Oryzias latipes: one gene and its partner. The protein of the gene in region 1 purifies or fractionates together with the protein of each later gene. This does not show direct contact. Links are inferred from orthologs where the notes say so. Each region holds a gene or a part of one and is shown on either strand. Other genes may lie near its edges.

Region 1 (4,361 bases):
CGAAATGCGATATTAGTGATTAATATTGCGATGATGATATAACTTGCAGTATATGAACAAATATTTAAACAAGGAAATACATAATTTCCATTTCACTGCAACAGTGAACAAAAATATATTCCAAATGACCCACATAAAAAATCTAACATAAAAGGGCTCCATCCAATTGGTCTATGATATAAAGGAGTCTATTCGATTGGTCAAACACATAAAGGGATTTGTTTTTTTCATTAAATACTACAAACTGCCATAAGATTGTTTTAGCATATTTAAGGTAACCATGCATTGCCATTTTAACCGTCTTTAGCGATATGCATATTGCACAGCTTGATATTGCGATAACAATACATTTGCCATTTATTGTGCAGGCCAACAGAGGTATTTTAATTTAGTTTTGTAATCTACAACTGCCCTTCTTTAAAGAATAAAAGAGACCAGCCGTATTATTGATGGGAGAAAAAGCAAAACAAAGAGCTGGTTATGGTAGGAATATGTGGATTCTCTGATGACCGCATTAGGAAGTCAGTATCAAGCAATATAAATATGTGTTTAGGAGTAATTAGAGATGCACATGCCCAGTAGCTTGTATAAATCAGATACAGTTCCAGCATCTATGCCATCCATCCATCGGTAATTAAGGGGCTGCTGGAGCCTATCCCAGTTTACTAATGTTTTCCGTTTTGTTTTCAATGCTATAACAATCAAAAACATAATTCTTGTTTGCTATGAAAAGGCTGACGGACAACTGCATAACCAGGACAGGGGTGGAATCTCTCATTGAAGCCTTGGAAAATAACCCACGAGTGAAGTCAGTATGGTATGTTACAGCATCCATCAATCCTTTGGTAATTAAGGGGCTGCTGGAGCCTATCCCAGTTTACTAATGATTCATACAGCGTGGACAAGTCGCCCGCTGGTTGCAGGGCCACACAATCACACGCCCATACACAGTCACACCTAGGGACATTTAGAGGGTGTGCCCCACCTTCGCACAACAGTAGCCAGGTTAGGCTCTGGCAGCCGTGTGACCCTGACAGGGCTAAAGTGGGATTCATACAGCCTACAAATTTTCATAAAAAAAGAAATAACTCAATAGCAAGTTACAAGACAACGCTTCAGACCTTTTTAAAGGACCTATAAAATAGCACTTCTATTTTTTTTTACACTTAGACTATGCACACAAGAGCTTGTTTTCACATAAAGAGTAGAATTTAGTTTAACTCAAGAATAGTTGTAATATATAAAAATTCACTAAAAGTCATTAAAACATTACATATATGATAATGGTACAGTCATTACCCTTTTAATATGGCGGACCCTGACAAAATCGAACATTTCCTACATCCGATCTAGAGCTATAGCTCTAAAGAGCCACTGTACATCTCAACCAGACTTGGTTTTCTGCGAGCCGTGGGAAACCCCCTCCTGTTGGAACTTGAAGATTGACAGGAAAACTAGCCAATCAACACACGAGTACGGAACGCATGACCAATGTCTGTAAGAGAGTGCAAAGTACGTCATCTGTTAACTGTAGCGAGGTCGGCTCCTGTAAATAATAAATCTCACATATGCAGCAGTACACCGCCTTATTCTTACGTATTTTTGAAACGCCAAAAGTATTTCGTTTAAATGTTATGTTGTGCACTTTAGCGAGGAGCAGCGGCCTGCCTGCTAGCTTGCTCCTAAACTGTTCGCGAGGCGACTTTAGCCTGATATTTAGCTAGTCCGGACGCTACCATTACCTAGCTATTTAGCTAATCAGAGGTTATTACAGGAATATTATACATATTCTATTGGCGCCCCCGTCAAGCAAAGATGGATGTATGAAATGACAGCCTTTTTTGGCCTATAGGTGACTCGACACACACAAAAGGTAAGATTTGTTTTTGCATAAGGAAAACGAATATTGGTATTTCCCTTTTGGGGCCGTTGTTGGCAGATTTCTAAATACAGCTGTTAAAGACACTCAAAAAATATTTAAGTCTAGGAAGATCACAGCTTTAGGCTTTCAAAAATTCAATTTCACCCAAAGCCAACAAATAGAAAGATTAAGGCAGCACTAGTTTGTGTATTATCACCTTGCAGAGATTTACTTAGCAATGATTAGCTCGGTTTTAATTGTGTGATTGTTTTGAGGCAGGTGTTTAATTCGTTCTCAACAAGGTATCAACGTCAGGGTTGTGAACTGTGATGCGCTGCTCAAAACAATTGACGGATGTGAAAGCAGAGTGATCTCTGTTGAGCGTATCTGGTGACCAAAAGATAAGGTGTGATCGGGGAAATCCAGCAGTCAGACCGGCGTTAGACCTGTCTGTCTTCTGCACGCTGTTTTATGCTATTTATAGTTCATTCAAATCAGTAGATCTGACTAACTGCTCCAAAAAATGTAGCCAAAAACAGATGGGTTTTTCACTCAGGTGATGCTTTGAAGAAGCTTCATACATCCTGAGCTGAATGTCATATCTGTGCACTTGTGAAGCAGTGAATAACAACATGTCAGTGTGTGTTTTTTTTCTCATGACTACCTGCAGACTCAGAATTTGCTAATTTAATCATAACTTGTAACATATTTGAGATAAGTATTGGTTTCTCTGTCCGCATATAAAACTCGACTCAAACCAAGATGCATGCTTTCATACTTTAGTCTGATTTCTGAAAGGGAAACGAGACAAAAATGTGCCACAGGCTATTGTGTGACTTAATGGTTTTTGCTGAAGCAAGTGTTATTCTGCACAGAGCTGCATTGTACCCGTTTGTTTGGTGTCTTTTAAAAAAACCCAGACAAAACGATATAGATGAGTGTCTGTAAGTTTCTTACCAGCTCTATCAGAGTTGTTAGTCTTAACACGTTCCTATCACTTGTCCATCAAATGCTGAACATGTCTTTTTTTTTATTTTAGGCCCCCTGGTCAAGCTCGCCTTGGCGCTGGTCCTGCTGCTTACCATGCAGCCATGAGCTCTGCCCTGTGGAACCAGGATAGGTCTGGTGGGGGCTTCAGGGAGGACTGGCGCTTCTACATGGTCATAAAAGAATGTACTGTGGAGAAGCCTGCACAGAAGACCCTAAGGATCCCCCGTGGTAGCCTGGGCCAGGCCTGTCAGGAGCGTAATAGCCTGGGACGAACTCTCCCTCCATGCAAGGGCAAGAAGAGCCTCCGCATCCTGGACCAGACCAACGTGGTGCTGAGCCTGGATGAGCGGGATGTGTTGGAGTTGGAGGAGAAGCTGGCTGAGCTGCTGTTCCCCATTACCAACTGTGAGGAGCGATATGCCCTGCTGTGCGACGAGCAACGTCTGCAGCGGGTTCGTGACATCGATTGTGGTTCCAAGGTGCGTGTCCAGCTGCGATCAGGGGATGAGCCTCTGCCAGGTGTGGTTCGCTTCAAGGGCTCACTGCTGCCTGACAGAGCCCTGTCGGGAATCTGGTTTGGAGTGGAGCTGCTGGTGAGAAATAACTTTTATCGGTCATACGTTTTGTATTTGTAATTGCAAGCTTTGCATTTTCATTCTGTTTTTTAAGGATTGTTGTGCTGCTTCTGGAGGAATGGTTTTAAAAGTCTGAGCTTTAAAAATGTTACAGCATTTTGTTGACGGGGACAAAACAATTTTTTTTCTGTCTTGCACATCGAGATGAGTTTGCATAAAAAGCATTAATTTACAACCAAACTGATTTAAACCTAAATTGATATTCAGTATTCACATGCCAAAACATTAAAGGTGGATTTGCATGGGCTTTAAATCGGCGTTTCCTAAGCCTGGTTGTCAGAACGCCAACTGTCCTGCATGGTTTCGATCCTATCTGGCTTTAATGACTGTAATCATTGTAAAGTTTCTACAAAGGTTGATGGAGTCTGATTGGATCAGGTGTGTCTGAGCAGAGTAGTGCTGAACACATGAAGGGGTGCGTTTACCGGGGATCAGGTTGGAGAAATTGCTCCAACAACTGGCTACAAATCCTCATACATAAACATTGCCACGAAGAGATTATTAGTTTACTTTGCCTTCTCTTTGTATTTGTTTAGAAATAATGCAGTTTCAGACTTCTAACATATTCTGGAAGCACTGAAATCTTAAGAAAAAAAGATAAACAAAAAAAGCAGGTTATAATACAATGTTTTGCAGGAAATCAACTTTCCGAAGTCACAAAAGGTCTTTCTTTAAAAGTAATTAAAAGTTATTGGTTGAAGAAAAAAAACAAGTACCTGAATGAATTAGAATTTGAAATATAATATGCATCACCTTCGCCGTCGATCAAGGAGAAGACTTGCTCTTTCCTTCATGTCTTTCTTCAAAGTTTTCATTTCTTCGATGCAGTTTTTCATTCAAGGTTAGGTTTTCTCCGTCCTCTTCCTCAGGAACTT
Region 2 (4,288 bases), on another chromosome or scaffold:
GCCTGATGATCTCGTCCTTCATATCTTCCTCTGCATCCACAAACAGAGGTTCCTTCCTTAAGCTCAGCGAGGCCTTCAAAACAGGCTTGCTCACAGCTGGGTGCCAGTGCCCAGCCCCATCTGTAACATCCACAGATTTGGAGGGTCGGCTACCTCGCCTTAAGTGGTGGGCGTGAGGTCTTTCTATATCCAGCGGTCGCACAGACAGACGAGCCATGTCTGCCCCGAGGCTGTCACGTCTACGGAGCGCCTCAGCACAGCCAGCTGCATCATCTCTGCTCCCTCTGCGGAGTTCCAGGGCCTCCAGCTCTGAAGCTGAACCACGAGCCAAAGCCACTACCTCTCCCAGAAGACGACACTCTGCCTGAGCCAAGAAGAGCTCGAATGCTAATTGGCGCAGATGATTTGAGCCCACAGGATGCTCCTGCAAATGGAACTGCGAATTATGATCACAAGCATACCCAATGGTGCGCATCAAAGTTCGGAGTTCCGCATCAGAAATGACAGACTGCAGATGGTAGACGTATGGCCCAGTGAAGGTCTGGAAGAGAAAACATGTCATCTGTATTACTGTCTCCTTAAAAAAAAAGGTAAGATTAACCAACAACACAAAAAAAGTAAATCCAACAGTCTTTAATTTTTTTGAAAACTGAATTCATGTAAAATATATCAAAGTTTTATCTCTTCTAAGTTCTACAAGATAAAAGTTTTGAGCTACCTATAAATTCTGAATTTGTATTTTTTTAACATCTATTTTAGATGTAAACAATCTTTGAACCCTTATCCTCTTCGCATCCTGCACTTCTCTTTGCTCACTGGGTAGAAATAAAAACTCAGTAACACTGTAACATCTGTATAAATACTACAGGGAACTATTGTGTTTGTTGTGGTGATCAGTCTTATTTTAGGCATTACCATCACAAACTGAACTCACCTTTATACATCTAAACTCCTTTTTCCAAGGGAAGAGCAAGAGATTGGTGCAGATGGTTTCCAGGGTGTGAAATGCTCTCTCCAGGCTCTTGAGACTGCCTCCTCTCTGGCAGTGAAGGGAATTATCCACAATCTCGTAGAAACGCACCATGCGAAACCTCTGTCCAGGATCTGGCTGGTAGGCGCCAAGCAGAGCCGTTGCTGTTGAAAGTAGGGCCTCCTTGTCCTTTTGTCTACTTTGCTCTCCACCCGATGTAGTTCCGGTCCCCGTATAATCACCCCCCTCCTCCAGACGTTTCTCCAGTGCTGTCACATACCTCCGAAACAGATCTTCTTTCAACTTGGCATCCATTGTCAGAAGCAGACTTTCAGTCAGCTTTTACAATTTTCTGAGAGAGCCCCCCCTCCCCATTTAAGCACAACCTGCACCGGGATGCCACATTTAAGCACCATTTTTAGTCACCATAATTTCCTGTACAGATTGGAACTCAGTCACTTCTTATGTATTTTGGGAGATGAGGGAAGAACTAGATTTGAGTCCACTCTGGCGTACCCCTTCTAAAGTAGAAAGACAGGTGACTGATGCTTTCACTTGGTGTATCCAGGCTGCAATCGGCATGGATACCGTCTTACAACCATCTCTGGTAAAAGCTCAAGACTCAATTTTACCCCAGAAGTGAAGTCAGAAGATGTTTTTTTTTTTTTTGCCTTTAGAAACAGTTAGGCTTGGATGCTGTGAATGCGGAGCTCCACGTCCCTCTTCTAGAAGACGTTCTGTTCGTTAAACGATTCTTCTGAGCCACCTCAGAGTCCTAATGAGAAATCAAAATGACAGAAATAGAAATGTCATTTAAAAACACAAGCTCAGAAAGTATTGTTACGAGAAAAGCTTCACTTTAAGTTACAAGATGTCGCAACAACCACTATATGCTCTGCATAACTAATTATTCCATTTTTTAAGGGAAGTAAAGCATCACTAATCTCAGGCAGATTAAGTATTTTGTGTGGGAAGCATTGTGTGGGTTCCTTAATTAATATTGTCAGTCACAATCGTAAACCTGCTGCATTACTGCGAAACGATGACCAATAAGGAAGGGGAAATATAATGGGTGACTGGCACTTGAGGCTGACGCTCGACACAGATAAGGCTGTCCCTTTCAGTTAACGTTTCAATTGGAAAAGGATTTATCGGGGCTGTCCACACGTTACCCTAATTATATGGCGGGACATAAAACAGGCAAACTGAACCGACAGGTGACTTATGAAAACGAGCTGCAATGTTTTCATGCCAGAGGAGAGGTCCAGGAAATTGGACGTCGTTTCCTGGTAAATAAATCGGGTGGCTGTTCCAGTTTTTTTGCCCTGGCATTGGATATCCAGTTAGCTAGCAAGCTACATCAACATGCCTTTTCACTGCGCATCAGTTAGGTCAGCATCGTTAATTAACACGGGTGATGTAAAACAACACATCCACTGTAGAACGTGTTCTAAAAGACTTTCGACATCCTAAATAAAACTGGCACTGACCCCCAAATGAGTACAAGCTAAGCAGTGAACGCCCATTTAAGCGCAGATGGCTAGTTAGCAATTGACTCTGGGCGGGCTAGCAGGGCGTTCCATTGCTACACTCACTCAGCTATTTCACGCTATATAAGAGAAATTACCCAAACAGATAAAATAACAAGCCATTTCTCTTATCAACAAACATGTTATTACGATACTGTAGGTGTTACGAGTCATAACCAACCCAGAAACACAATCAAATCGTTATCTTACCTTTTCATAAGTGCTAACCATCGCTAGTTACGCCTCCTCAGCTGTTGAAAATTCATTTTTAGCGGAGTACGCATGCGCAAAATCTTGACAGTTCATGACCACTAGGGGCCCACGTGTAAAGGGAGGGGATTCAGAGCCCACACTGACAGTCATTAGTATTAGACAAAACCAACAAACAGATGCACATAATAAACCCTATAGGTAGACCGTCAGTCATTAATCATTAGACACTGCAAACGCTAGTTTTTTTAGACGCTAATTAATTTCACCACCTAAAGTCACCCACAATAAGGAAGTGTTGATTTGGATCACAATAGTACAAAGGCCAATAGTTTGGTTTATATTTATGTTTTTAATTATGCAGATAAAATATTTACTGGTTTAATCAGAGGCCAAACGTAACAATACCAGGCTGCATTCTTCGATCACCTCACCTGCACCTAAAAAAGATGATGGATACGGACATTATTCTAAATTCCCCAATTACTGACAATGACGTTAGAAAACGAGGACGATTACATTCTCTTTTGAATTGAAAGTTATATTTTCCAGTCGCCGAATGACTGCCTTAAACTTAGTAGAACTTGGAGGTGGTTGGATTTTACAGTTATGGTGGAGAATTTCCGCCATAGACCTCAAGTTTGAGTCAACTGCTGCACTGCCAGACAGAATAAATAGAACTGCACGTAGAGCAGCCTCTGCTCATACATGCAGCGGTGGCTCCGCCCCACGCCGTAAAAAAACAACCAAAACCCAGTGACGTTGCTATGGGAAGGGTTGCTTGGAACTAATGCAGTGAAGAAAAGAAATAGAAATGGCGGTGCGCGGAGGATTTAGCGCTGCACAACAGAGAGAAACCACTGCTGACGGCAGCAACGACGTGTCAGATTTTATGTGTCCAGTTTGCCTCGAAATCTTTGAGAGACCTGTCAGAACACAATGTGGACATACGTAAGTATTTCGCCTTATTTTGACCACCCTCCCCTTACTGAGGCTCAGCACCATCGATGAAACGATACCAGTTAAAAACAATGAAGGGAAATGCTTGATCTTTTAACGCATTCTGGCATTAACAGAATGCCAACGTTAATATTCTTAGATTCGCTATGAGCTAAAATTCTGTAATGTTGTCTTTTTCTGCGTGTATATATTTGGCAAAACCTATTCTAGCCTGTTAAATCAGTTTCAGTTTTGTTTACATCAAAGAATAGGCTTTATTAGGGAAATGTAGTTCATAAATCTTTTGCAGTTACTCGAAAGACTAATGTGACGGACTACAAGTCCCTGCGCCCCCTTGAGGTGGGGATTTCCATCGAATTTACCGGAAGCTAAAGTAAAAAATAATTGTCTTTGAGAGCTGTGTGGGTATTAAATAATTCCAACTAATCAATTATATTTATGTGAGGATTTTGTTTAAATATTTGTCTTTTTATTGTTGTTATTTCTTTCTACCTCTTGGCAGATTCTGTCACAATTGTTTGCAAGAGTGTTTGCGTCCTCAAAAGCCCGTATGTGCGGTATGTAGGACTACAGTTGGGCCGTGGACCAAAGCAGTGGATCTAGAAGCCCTCATCCAGTC

What was found. Proteins that work in one complex are often made in the same cells at the same time.
Region 2: the proteins of cyld (region 1) and spata2 purify together in Homo sapiens (affinity purification with western blotting; 10 studies listed by BioGRID and IntAct, with this or other methods). This does not show direct contact. The link is inferred for Oryzias latipes from reciprocal best matches to the Homo sapiens genes CYLD and SPATA2.

What each region holds. Positions count from the first base shown.
Region 1 is NC_019861.2:30,227,072-30,231,432, reverse strand, and holds the start of cyld (ubiquitin carboxyl-terminal hydrolase CYLD), read left to right. Parts: upstream 1-1,508; 5' UTR 1,509-1,873; intron 1,874-2,900; 5' UTR 2,901-2,952; coding exon 2,953-3,444; intron 3,445-4,361. UniProt on the Homo sapiens protein: Deubiquitinase that specifically cleaves 'Lys-63'- and linear 'Met-1'-linked polyubiquitin chains and is involved in NF-kappa-B activation and TNF-alpha-induced necroptosis.
Region 2 is NC_019865.2:15,134,085-15,138,372, reverse strand, and holds the start of spata2 (spermatogenesis-associated protein 2), read right to left. Parts: upstream 2,816-4,288; 5' UTR 2,710-2,815; intron 1,746-2,709; 5' UTR 1,286-1,745; coding exon 935-1,285; intron 542-934; coding exon 1-541. Other genes in the region: E3 ubiquitin-protein ligase RNF114, read left to right, coding at 3,524-3,660, 4,172-4,288.